Linked DNA regions of Ovis aries. The main gene of each other region encodes a partner of the protein of the gene in region 2 in a complex. Links are inferred from orthologs where the notes say so. Each region holds a gene or a part of one and is shown on either strand. Other genes may lie near its edges.

Region 1 (4,429 bases), on a different chromosome or scaffold from region 2:
CAATAGCTGCTGGGTATTTTAGTAGTTAAATATAAGTATCAGACCATTCCAGAAATTCACCCTGTGTGCAAGTCCAGCTCTTTTATTATGGCTGTTCTAGGTATATTTCTCCAAGTTTTACATCATCATGTGAATGACTTCAAAATTATTTCAAATAAGTTTTACCCAGTTTTCTGGTTTTGAACAAATGCTTCTTCAGACTAAATGAATCAGTAGGTATCTTAAATTTCCCTAAGAACTGACGAGACTAACTATAATATCCAGCACTTCTGGCCTGGATGGGATTCAGAGGTCCTGCAGTCTATTCTGACTCTGACACTGGCCATCCCTAGCACATGGGTGACAATATTAGATGACTTAAGTTCCCAGCCAGTTCTAGAATTTGCAAAATTTGAAAACCGACTTATAAACATGTAGACACATCTATGTATGTGCACCTAAATAATCAACCCAGTGGCAGGAGAGGCAAGTAAAAAATCATGACATGGGAGAAAAAGGGAAAGAAAAGGAAGAAAAACAATATTTGCCTCTTCTATCAAATGATTTAGCGCTAAGAGTTGTTACTAGTACCTTTTTCACTGTGTTCTTCAGATTCTGTACGTTTCTCTGGATGTGCTGGTTGTCATTCTCAATATGCTGCAAAATGGAAGTGAGAGCAACAAGTTTAACATTGTTGTGCTGAAGCTTTTTGAGACTCAGCCTTCCTAACTGAAGCATGTTACACTTCATCTGGAATTAAAGTTCTTAGCAATTTTGCCCACAACGACCTAGATATCAATAGTGACCTAGATTCTCTGACCTCCTCAATCCCTGGGACACCAAAATCCAGTCATTTCCCTTACACGGAACCTCACTTCACCTTTGGGAAACCCTACTGAGGTTGAAGTTTGTGGAAAGAGCAGAGTGGTTTATGCAAATCCTGTCAAGAATAAAACCATAACGGCACCTCATCAAAAACACGGGCTCAGAACAAGAAACCTACATAAAATATCTCATGCGAACAGGGCCCTCCTCAATAAATACTAGGCCCCCTTTGCTCAGCCTACTCCACCAAAATATTTTTCTTAGTTTTCAATATTCAGAGGCATCAAGCTCACGCACCTCTGATTTTTGTCACTTCCAGTATCAAAAGGGCAGCAGTCTTCATCCACCCACCCACTGCCAAATATCAAATCTTCTTGTTTCTCCCTTTCTCTCTTTCCCATCCCCTCCCTCCATCAACTTATATTCAGTGAATCCATTTGCACCATTTGTATTTTTCCTTAAAGCTCCCAACACCTTTCTCATCTCACATAGTCCGAATTGCTTTTTCCCAGGGACAAATGAGTCTCCTGTGGTCTTTCAGACCCTGCCCATCACAATCAACTCAAAATGTGACTCAATTAAAGCAAAAGCAAACAGGTTGTGCTGCCAAATGACTTCAGTAATGGTGTGACGGAGGCACCTCTTACTACCAGCTTGGAAGGGGCACTGGGGTGGGAAGGAAGAGGGTTCCGCACAGAAGAAAGACGAAAGGCAGGCACCTGGGAGGATCGGACTTTGGCTGGAGAAGAACTTACGCATTGGCTTAGCTTTTTGCTGAGCTTGGAGAAGAAGGGCACCACCTTCTTCATATGGGGGTGGAATTCATCGGATCGGGGGAACAGCACCTCTTCAAGAATAAAGTTCAGCACCTGCTTCAGCACATAGCAGCGCTTCGTCACCTGCTGGTGAAAGTGAAAGAGCAGGGCTCAAGTTAGGCGACATCCACAAGACCCGGCCCATCCTCACCACCGCTCCAAGTCACCACAAGTGGCATCATGCCTCTGGCTTACATTGATTCCCTGGAACAATTTGTTTCCAATGAGACGAACATCTGTGATGTTATCTGCCAAACTAGCCTGCAAGAGAAGAAAAGACTAAGTGCCTGGACATCATAAAGCTAGAAGAAATGTCTGTAAGGAGAGCTGTACTCTGTCCCCTCTTCCCAGAGCAGCACTGTGAGGACTAAAGAAAGGGCTCTTTAGTTCATGGGTTTAAAATGATGCTCAGGGGTTGAGGGGAGGGGTAAATTAGAAGTTTGGGGTTAACATATATACACCATAATGTATTAAATAGATAACTAACAAGAAGTTACCATATAGTACAAGGAACCATACTCAATATTTTATAACAACCAATAAGGGGAATGAATATATAAAAGAATATACATATATTTTATATATACACATATATAGGTATACTTATACATATATATAGACTCGAATCAGTATGCTGTACACTGGAAACTAACATGACCCTGTAAACCAACTAAACTTCAAAATAAATTTAAAAAATAAGATAAAAAAGTATAATGTACAGCATAGGTAATATAGCCAATATGTTATAATAACTATAAATGGAGAATAATCTCTAAAAATTGTGGATCACTATGCTGTATACCTGGAACTTAAATAATACTGTCAATGAACTATACTTCAGTTAAAAAAAAAAAAGAATGGATTTAAAGCTCCTAGAATAGAGCTCATAACATAGTAAGTGCTCGAAAATGTGAATTTCTTGCTCTTCAGAAAATAAAAGAATGCTTAGAGGAGTAAAGGGAACCATAAACAGTCAGATGGGTTACTACATGGCTCCTTTGGGGGCAAAACTGAATGTGCATCTCCTAAAGGGCAAAATGACAGGTCTTGAGGTAAAGCTTGAGCTCCAAAAAGTCTTAAAAGAGACATAAAGTGATGACAGGTATACCAGTAGAGATTAATGTTCGTCTGGAGAAATGTCCTCTGGAGAAATTTTAAGAACTATTCAGGTTCCAAGTAGATAAGATGCATAAGAGAAGGACTGAGATGAGTACCTCCTGAGCCAGAGTGAAGGTGTGGTTGAAGATGTAGGGCTCCTGGAAGTCGGACTTGTTGAGCCTACAGTGCGACGTGATGGGTGCAGCCGCTCCTCCCTGGGCGCACAGCACCATGACAAGGAGGCAGCCAGCGGCCAGAGCGGCCCCGAGGGGAGAGCTCACGTACTTCTGCAGGGCAGCCATCGTGGACAAAGCAAACCTGAGCAGTGGGTGACTAGGGAAGAAGAACCTGGTATCAAGAGAACAAGAAACAAAATCAACATTAAGGGGAAAAATTAAGTATCCAGGAGTAATAGACCCAGCAAGCCAATCCTACCAAGTTCGTTGGAGGACTTACCTGTTTCGAGGCTTCTGCTTGTGATAGGAAAGTAGAAGCTGCTGCTTTTATAGCCCCCAGGACACCAAATTGTGTGTGTGAAAAGTATGACATCAGCAATTATCTAATTTCCAGTGCTGTCTTCTGAGAACTACCTAACCACCATAGGGGACCACAGAGCACCACCTCCAAGCCTTCCCACCTTGATACGCCAGCATTTCCCTAAAACGTCACTATTAGGCCCGGTGCGTGCTTTTACAGACAAATCCCAGAAAGTTTCTAAACCCTACATACTTTTCAAAGAAAATGACTGCTTTGTCTTTGTAGATTCCAGGTTTAGTTTAAAATTTTCTGATCTCTTGTAGTGAGTAAACATTTTGGTCACGGACTCATTTTCCTAGCAGCTTCATAGATTCTTATCTCTTTAGAGGTGATCAAAAAAAAAAAAGGACCTATATCCTTTACTTTAAAATAAGCAGTAATGGCAGCTTGGAGACAATTCTATTTTTTAAAATGTTATGTCCTTTTTAAAAAAATATGATGAATGCTGAAGAAGACTTAAATTTTAAAATAGCAGTATTGGCTAACATAACTTTCCTCCCATTCTATGGCATTTTTTAAGTGACCAAACAATTACAATAGATGCAAATATATCTTAAATTTTTCATTAAATCATAATCAATATTGATTTAAACTTGAAAATATTAATGCTGAACAATCTGATCTGTATTTTTCTTAACATGCAAGTATTTTGAGAATACAGTCAAGTAGTTCATTTTACCTGCACTCATTCTAAACAACACACAAGTCCCCCCCTCAAAACATTTCCAAAAACCTTATAACACTTTTTATTAGATACATGAAAGTCTAAAGAAGAGAATCTGGCAATTTAATGATTACAGGTGGTTTTTATTAAAATACATTGAACTCTAAATAATACCTAAACCTGAAACCTTCCCAAGGAGGTGGGATCAGGGGACAAGGGCACTGATCTATTGCTAAGGGAAGGAATGTAAATTCGTGCAGATTAGTTTGATCAGATTTTTCTTTTTGCAACAAGCTTGGATCAGGCGCATCAAAGAAGGCATGTGAATAATTGTAGAAATCTGAGCATTTTGTGAGATTGCATGGGCCTTCGGCAAGGGGCCACAGTGAAGAGTTAAGACAGCATGAGAACACTGAGCATTTGGGAAGGTAATTAAAAGGGAAGGTTAGGGGAGGACACAAAAACCATACCCACTGCACAAGTTTACTCGAGCTGATTCATGAATGCCAGA
Region 2 (4,566 bases):
GACATTCACACATATTTGAGCAAATTTGGTTCTTAGTATATTCTCTGCCCTCTCCCAACCTTCTCCCCCCCCCCATTTTCCCCTTATTTGTTCCTACAAAAAGTCACTACATTGGAAACCCCAATTTCCCTCTCTGCTTCTCTACTTATTAAACCTTGAATTCATTTCTTTTTTTTTCTTAACTGGAAGTTGGAGCAATTTGGTTCCTCTAATACATGAGTTATTGGCATTAAAGATATTGAACATCAGTGGTTCAAACCTAAATGACTATTCCCCACTTGAAACCAAGGTGAGTAAAAAGTCTAGCGTTCAGTGGTGAATCATGAGCAAGGAAATGAAGGATGATGCTGAAAATGCTAAGGGACAAAGATCCCTCAGAAAGTATTCATACAAAGGGCACCTGAGATAGGCTGCTGTTTCTTCTTTGAAAGCCTAAGTCATCTTAGAAGCAGTGGAAACTTCACCTGGAGGAGGTAAGGAGTTTGGATTCAAAAGTCTGACCCTGCCAGAAAGTGCTGGAAAACCCAGCATTGTTTCCACAAAGCCCCCCATCCTGCTTAGGGAATGTGCCTACTTCCCCCATTAAAACTCATCTTCGGGTGAGTAGGGACAATGTCTATATTATTTGCTTCTTCATCCTTGATGCTGAGAACAATGCCTATCTCATGGTAGGGCAGAAACTATGTTATTGAGTCAAGTATTTACTTACTTATTACTTAAATAATTATTAATTAATGGATACTGCTCAGCAGCCATCACTATTCCCGACTGAAGGGGTTATGCTACCAAGAGCTTGAAAGTTCAACTTCCCAAGAGGAAAAAGAAACCAGCATGTATTTCTTCTTTTACCCCAAAAGCCTCTTTAGAAAAAAAAATCTTTGAGTTTCTTGTGCTTTAATGTATAATCTTAGTGTTGCTAAAAACATGCAGTAAAAAAAAAAAAAAAGTTTGGTAAGAAAACTGATATAGCGAATCATGGGCAAAGAACAGATGACCTAGTTTGATTAGATTTCCAAGAAGATATGACGAAGATTTAACGTAGTTCAAAATGATTGTCCTTGGTCTTCCTCCTTTTAAGGGTTTACTTGGTTTGTTGGGCTCAAAATCTTGATCAGCTAGGTTGCTGGAAATGGAGAGTGCAGATGGAAAAGGAAGAAGCATGAGCTGCGTGGGGCCCAGGGCGCTACGGACTGGGATGGCCGCAGAGGTGGGAGGGAGTCCTGCAGAGAGGCCAGGCGGACAGAGGGTATGAGGTCTACACCCAGGAGGTTACTCGAGGAGCTCCCATGAAGGGAGGAAAAGGAAAAACTAGCCAGAGACCCCACCTGCTTGAACCACTGCCAGGGGCCCTGATCACTGCAACTGCCAAGCCCGTTACTCAGAGTCACTGGCAGCCCCTCTGCCCCCTCTGCCAGATGCCGTTTAGGCCTCCTCCACTCACCTGCAAGAATCTTGCATAATTCTTCACCCTGCCTGCCCCCGGCCCACCAACCCAACATTAAAGTGACTTAACTGACAATATTTTTGAAATGATTCTTAATACTTATTCCTCTCAAATGATAATACACGAACAGGATGAAATTGTATTTACTTCAAGAAGCATGGTTAAAACCAAAAGGGGATCTTTGAGCGAGAGGATTCTGGTTCCCTCTCTTGTCCAGCGCTGTCGTCTCATTGAGGTGAACGCTGGCCACCCGACCAGTCACACTCGCAACCATGACGCTGAAGTGTTGCTTTCTAGGCTTCCTCCTCAGTGTCCTCCTGCCTGGTGTGGTAGGTAAGTGCTTCCTTTCTTCCTAATTTCTCAGTGTTGTCATCAGAGCCTGCTCCAGGGCACTATTGGACATGGCAGTCTCGCCCTTCTGGGCTTTGTAAAGATTTCAGCTCTCTCCTGTCACAAATTGGTCAGAACAGACATGGGGTCCGTTTCTCAGTGAGCTAAGTCGCTCCAGTTGTGTTTGACTCTTTGTGATCCTATGGACTGTAGCCCCCCAGGCTCCTCTGTCCATGGGGATTCTCCAGGCAAGAATATTGGAGTGGGTTGCCATGCCCTCCTCCAGGGCATCTTCCTGACCCAGGGAGCAAGCCCATGTCTCTTGAGTCTCCTGCGTTCGCAGGCAGGTTCTTTGCCTGCCACCTGGGAAGCCCAGTTTCCCTCTATAGCCTGGATAAATACATGCAGACTTCATGAGTAGCTACTAAAGAGGAGGCACTCTAGTGGGTTCAAAAAACTCCACACAGGACAAATACACACCCTTCTCTGTCTCCTTAGCATTTCTTTCAACTTCAAGGGACAAGCAGAGTTCCTAGCCCAGACTGCCTGAACCTGGATTTCAACTCTATCTCTTTATTATCTAGAAAAACTGGGCTGATTGGCTTAAACCGCCTCTGCCTTGATTACTCCATCTGTAGAATGGGGATTGCAGGTCACTGTGAGGATTAAATGAGTTAATAATATATGCCAAGTGCTTAGCACCGTGCCTAGCATAGAATAGATCATAAACAACATGTGAGAATTTGCTATTGGCATTCATGGAGAAGTCTTCAAGAACAGAGAGCATCTTGTCACCCCAGCTTACCTCTGAGCAAAACCATGGGGGGCCCCAGTTAACAGATGTGTACCTTTCAGTGTCAGTGGCTCAAGTAGCTTTCCCAGCATTCTACAGTTGCCCAGTGACTGATCATTTAAACACAACTCAAGCCTCCATTTCCCAGAAATGTGTGGATTTGGGTAGACTATGCCTTTGGTCTTTGGTCATACCAAGGATTCAATTAAAAGAATATGACAGGAATTAAGTGTCACCAAAATGACTTAGGTGCTGCATCTTACCGACCCTAGGCAAATCACACAACTTCTTTAGACCTCAGTTTTCCCATCTGTAAAACGTGCTAATAAAAGTACTCTACCTTATTGGGTGGTTGTAAGAATGAAAAAAGAGATGAAGCTCTGAGCACAGTGCCTGATAGATGGTTAATGTTCAAAATGTGTTTTCTTAATGCCAGCCAGGAAGAGGAGGAAGAGGGCAAAAGGGAGGACTATCTTTGACTCCTCACTGTTCTGCCTCCTCCATTGGCTCCTGTCCCCCCAGGCTTTGCTCTTGTTTTGCTGTAGCCGCTGAGAGGCAGGCTCTGGAGCCAGACAGCATTGGTATAAAATCAGCTTCACTGTCTGCCACTTTGCCAGCTCTTTTACCTCCCCAAGGCTTGGATTTTGGTCTGCAAGAGAAAGGCCATAATATTATCCTTTTCATAGGTGAGCTGGGCAAATTCAATGAGTTCTTGCAGGTAAAAGACCTGCGGTGTTTTGCACAGAGGGCTTGTTATTTTCTTTGATGGTGCTTACCAACAGTGTTACAAAAATGAGAGAAGCCTGAAGACAGATGAGATAAAGGACACTGGACCATTTGTTTTCAGGATAGCAGATCAACTGTAGGCAGGGTCTTTAAGAAACTGTGCCTATCACTTCCTATCAACTCCTGAAAACTTTCAAAGTTTTTATGTGCTAAATATGATTGATCCAATAGTGACTTGTGTGAGCAAAACCAATCATGGCATTTGACTCTTTCCAAGAGATATGTTCTTGTACTTTGGATGAAAGGAAGTCCAAAAAAGTAAAAAATAAACAAAAACCAAATAACAGCATTGACACTATTAGGTTGGTAAAAATAAATACCTAAGGAAGCAGCCTTACTCATTAGAGAATAACACATGTCTTATTTATTTACTTATGTTTGGCTGTGCTGGGTCTTCCTCACTGCTTGCAGGCTTTCTCTAGCTGCAGTGAGCAGGGGCTGCTGTCTAGCTGTAGTACATGGCCTTCTCATTGTGATGGCTTCTCTTGTTGTGGGGCGTGGGCTCTAGGGTATGTGGGCTCAGTAATTGTGCACGGGCTTAGTTGCCTCACAACACGTGGCATCTTCCCAGGCCAGGGATCAAACCTGTGTCCCCTGCATTGGCTGGGGGATTCTTAACCACTGGACCACCGGGGAAGCCCCGAGAATAACAAATTTCGAAAGTTCAGAGCGGAGATCATAGGCATCAAAATATTCACTTCCCTTTGAATGATATTTGAGCAAAGACTTGAAGGGGGTGAAGAAATGAGGCTTGTGGAAATCCAGAGAAGAGTATTCAAGGAAAAGGAAAGGGCCAATACAGAGACCTCAGATGGGGCCACGCCCAGCATGGTAGAGCAGGAGAAAGGAGGACACTCTGGAGAAGCCAGGGGGCAAGTGATAGAAGATGAGGAAGAGACAGGCGGGGGAGACATGCTTCCTGACTCCTGCTTCTGCCTATCTCCTATCCTTCAGCAGAAACGCTGGGCCTGTCGGGAAGGCAAAGCTTTAATTCTGCCTCTTTTACGTTTTCATCTGGTACTCTCTTCTTTCTTTTTTTTTTCGCTTACACGTTACATGACAAATTTATTCAGTAAAAAAGTCAACTAGGACTCTAGCAAAAAGATTAATAAAAGAAAAACTGTTTATGAGTGCATACACAGCACGTCACTAGTGAGGAACTTAAACAAAGATGAACTCAAAATGGCGTCTGAAAGTCCCAGCTTCTGTAGCA

Evidence for each region.
Region 1: the proteins of IL22RA2 (region 2) and IL22 are in contact, whole or in part, in a crystal structure (PDB 3G9V), measured with the Homo sapiens proteins. The link is inferred for Ovis aries from reciprocal best matches to the Homo sapiens genes IL22RA2 and IL22. Residues at the interface, in NP_443194.1 of Homo sapiens: Lys65, Ile66, Tyr99, Gly100, Gln101, Arg102, Trp104, Gln128, Glu129, Pro130, Tyr132, Met148, Pro150, Arg151, Thr153, Trp155, Trp156, Glu157, Glu200, Pro246, Met247, Leu248, Asp249, Arg250; in NP_065386.1 of Homo sapiens: Phe47, Gln48, Pro50, Thr53, Asn54, Phe57, Met58, Lys61, Ser64, Leu65, Asp67, Asn69, Thr70, Asp71, Val72, Arg73, Leu74, Lys162, Gly165, Glu166, Asp168, Leu169, Met172, Arg175, Asn176.

Annotation. Positions count from the first base shown.
Region 1 is NC_056056.1:151,693,986-151,698,414, reverse strand, and holds the start of IL22 (interleukin-22 precursor), read right to left. Parts: upstream 3,030-4,429; 5' UTR 3,020-3,029; coding exon 2,834-3,019; intron 1,881-2,833; coding exon 1,815-1,880; intron 1,707-1,814; coding exon 1,560-1,706; coding exon of another isoform or gene 1,383-1,559; exon of another isoform or gene 637-1,382; coding exon 571-636; exon of another isoform or gene 551-570; intron 1-550. UniProt on the Homo sapiens protein: Cytokine that plays a critical role in modulating tissue responses during inflammation. Plays an essential role in the regeneration of epithelial cells to maintain barrier function after injury and for the prevention of further tissue damage.
Region 2 is NC_056061.1:62,365,915-62,370,480, reverse strand, and holds the start of IL22RA2 (interleukin-22 receptor subunit alpha-2), read left to right. Parts: upstream 1-1,673; 5' UTR 1,674-1,716; coding exon 1,717-1,777; intron 1,778-4,566. UniProt on the Homo sapiens protein: Isoform 2 is a receptor for IL22. Binds to IL22, prevents interaction with the functional IL-22R complex and blocks the activity of IL22 (in vitro). May play an important role as an IL22 antagonist in the regulation of inflammatory responses.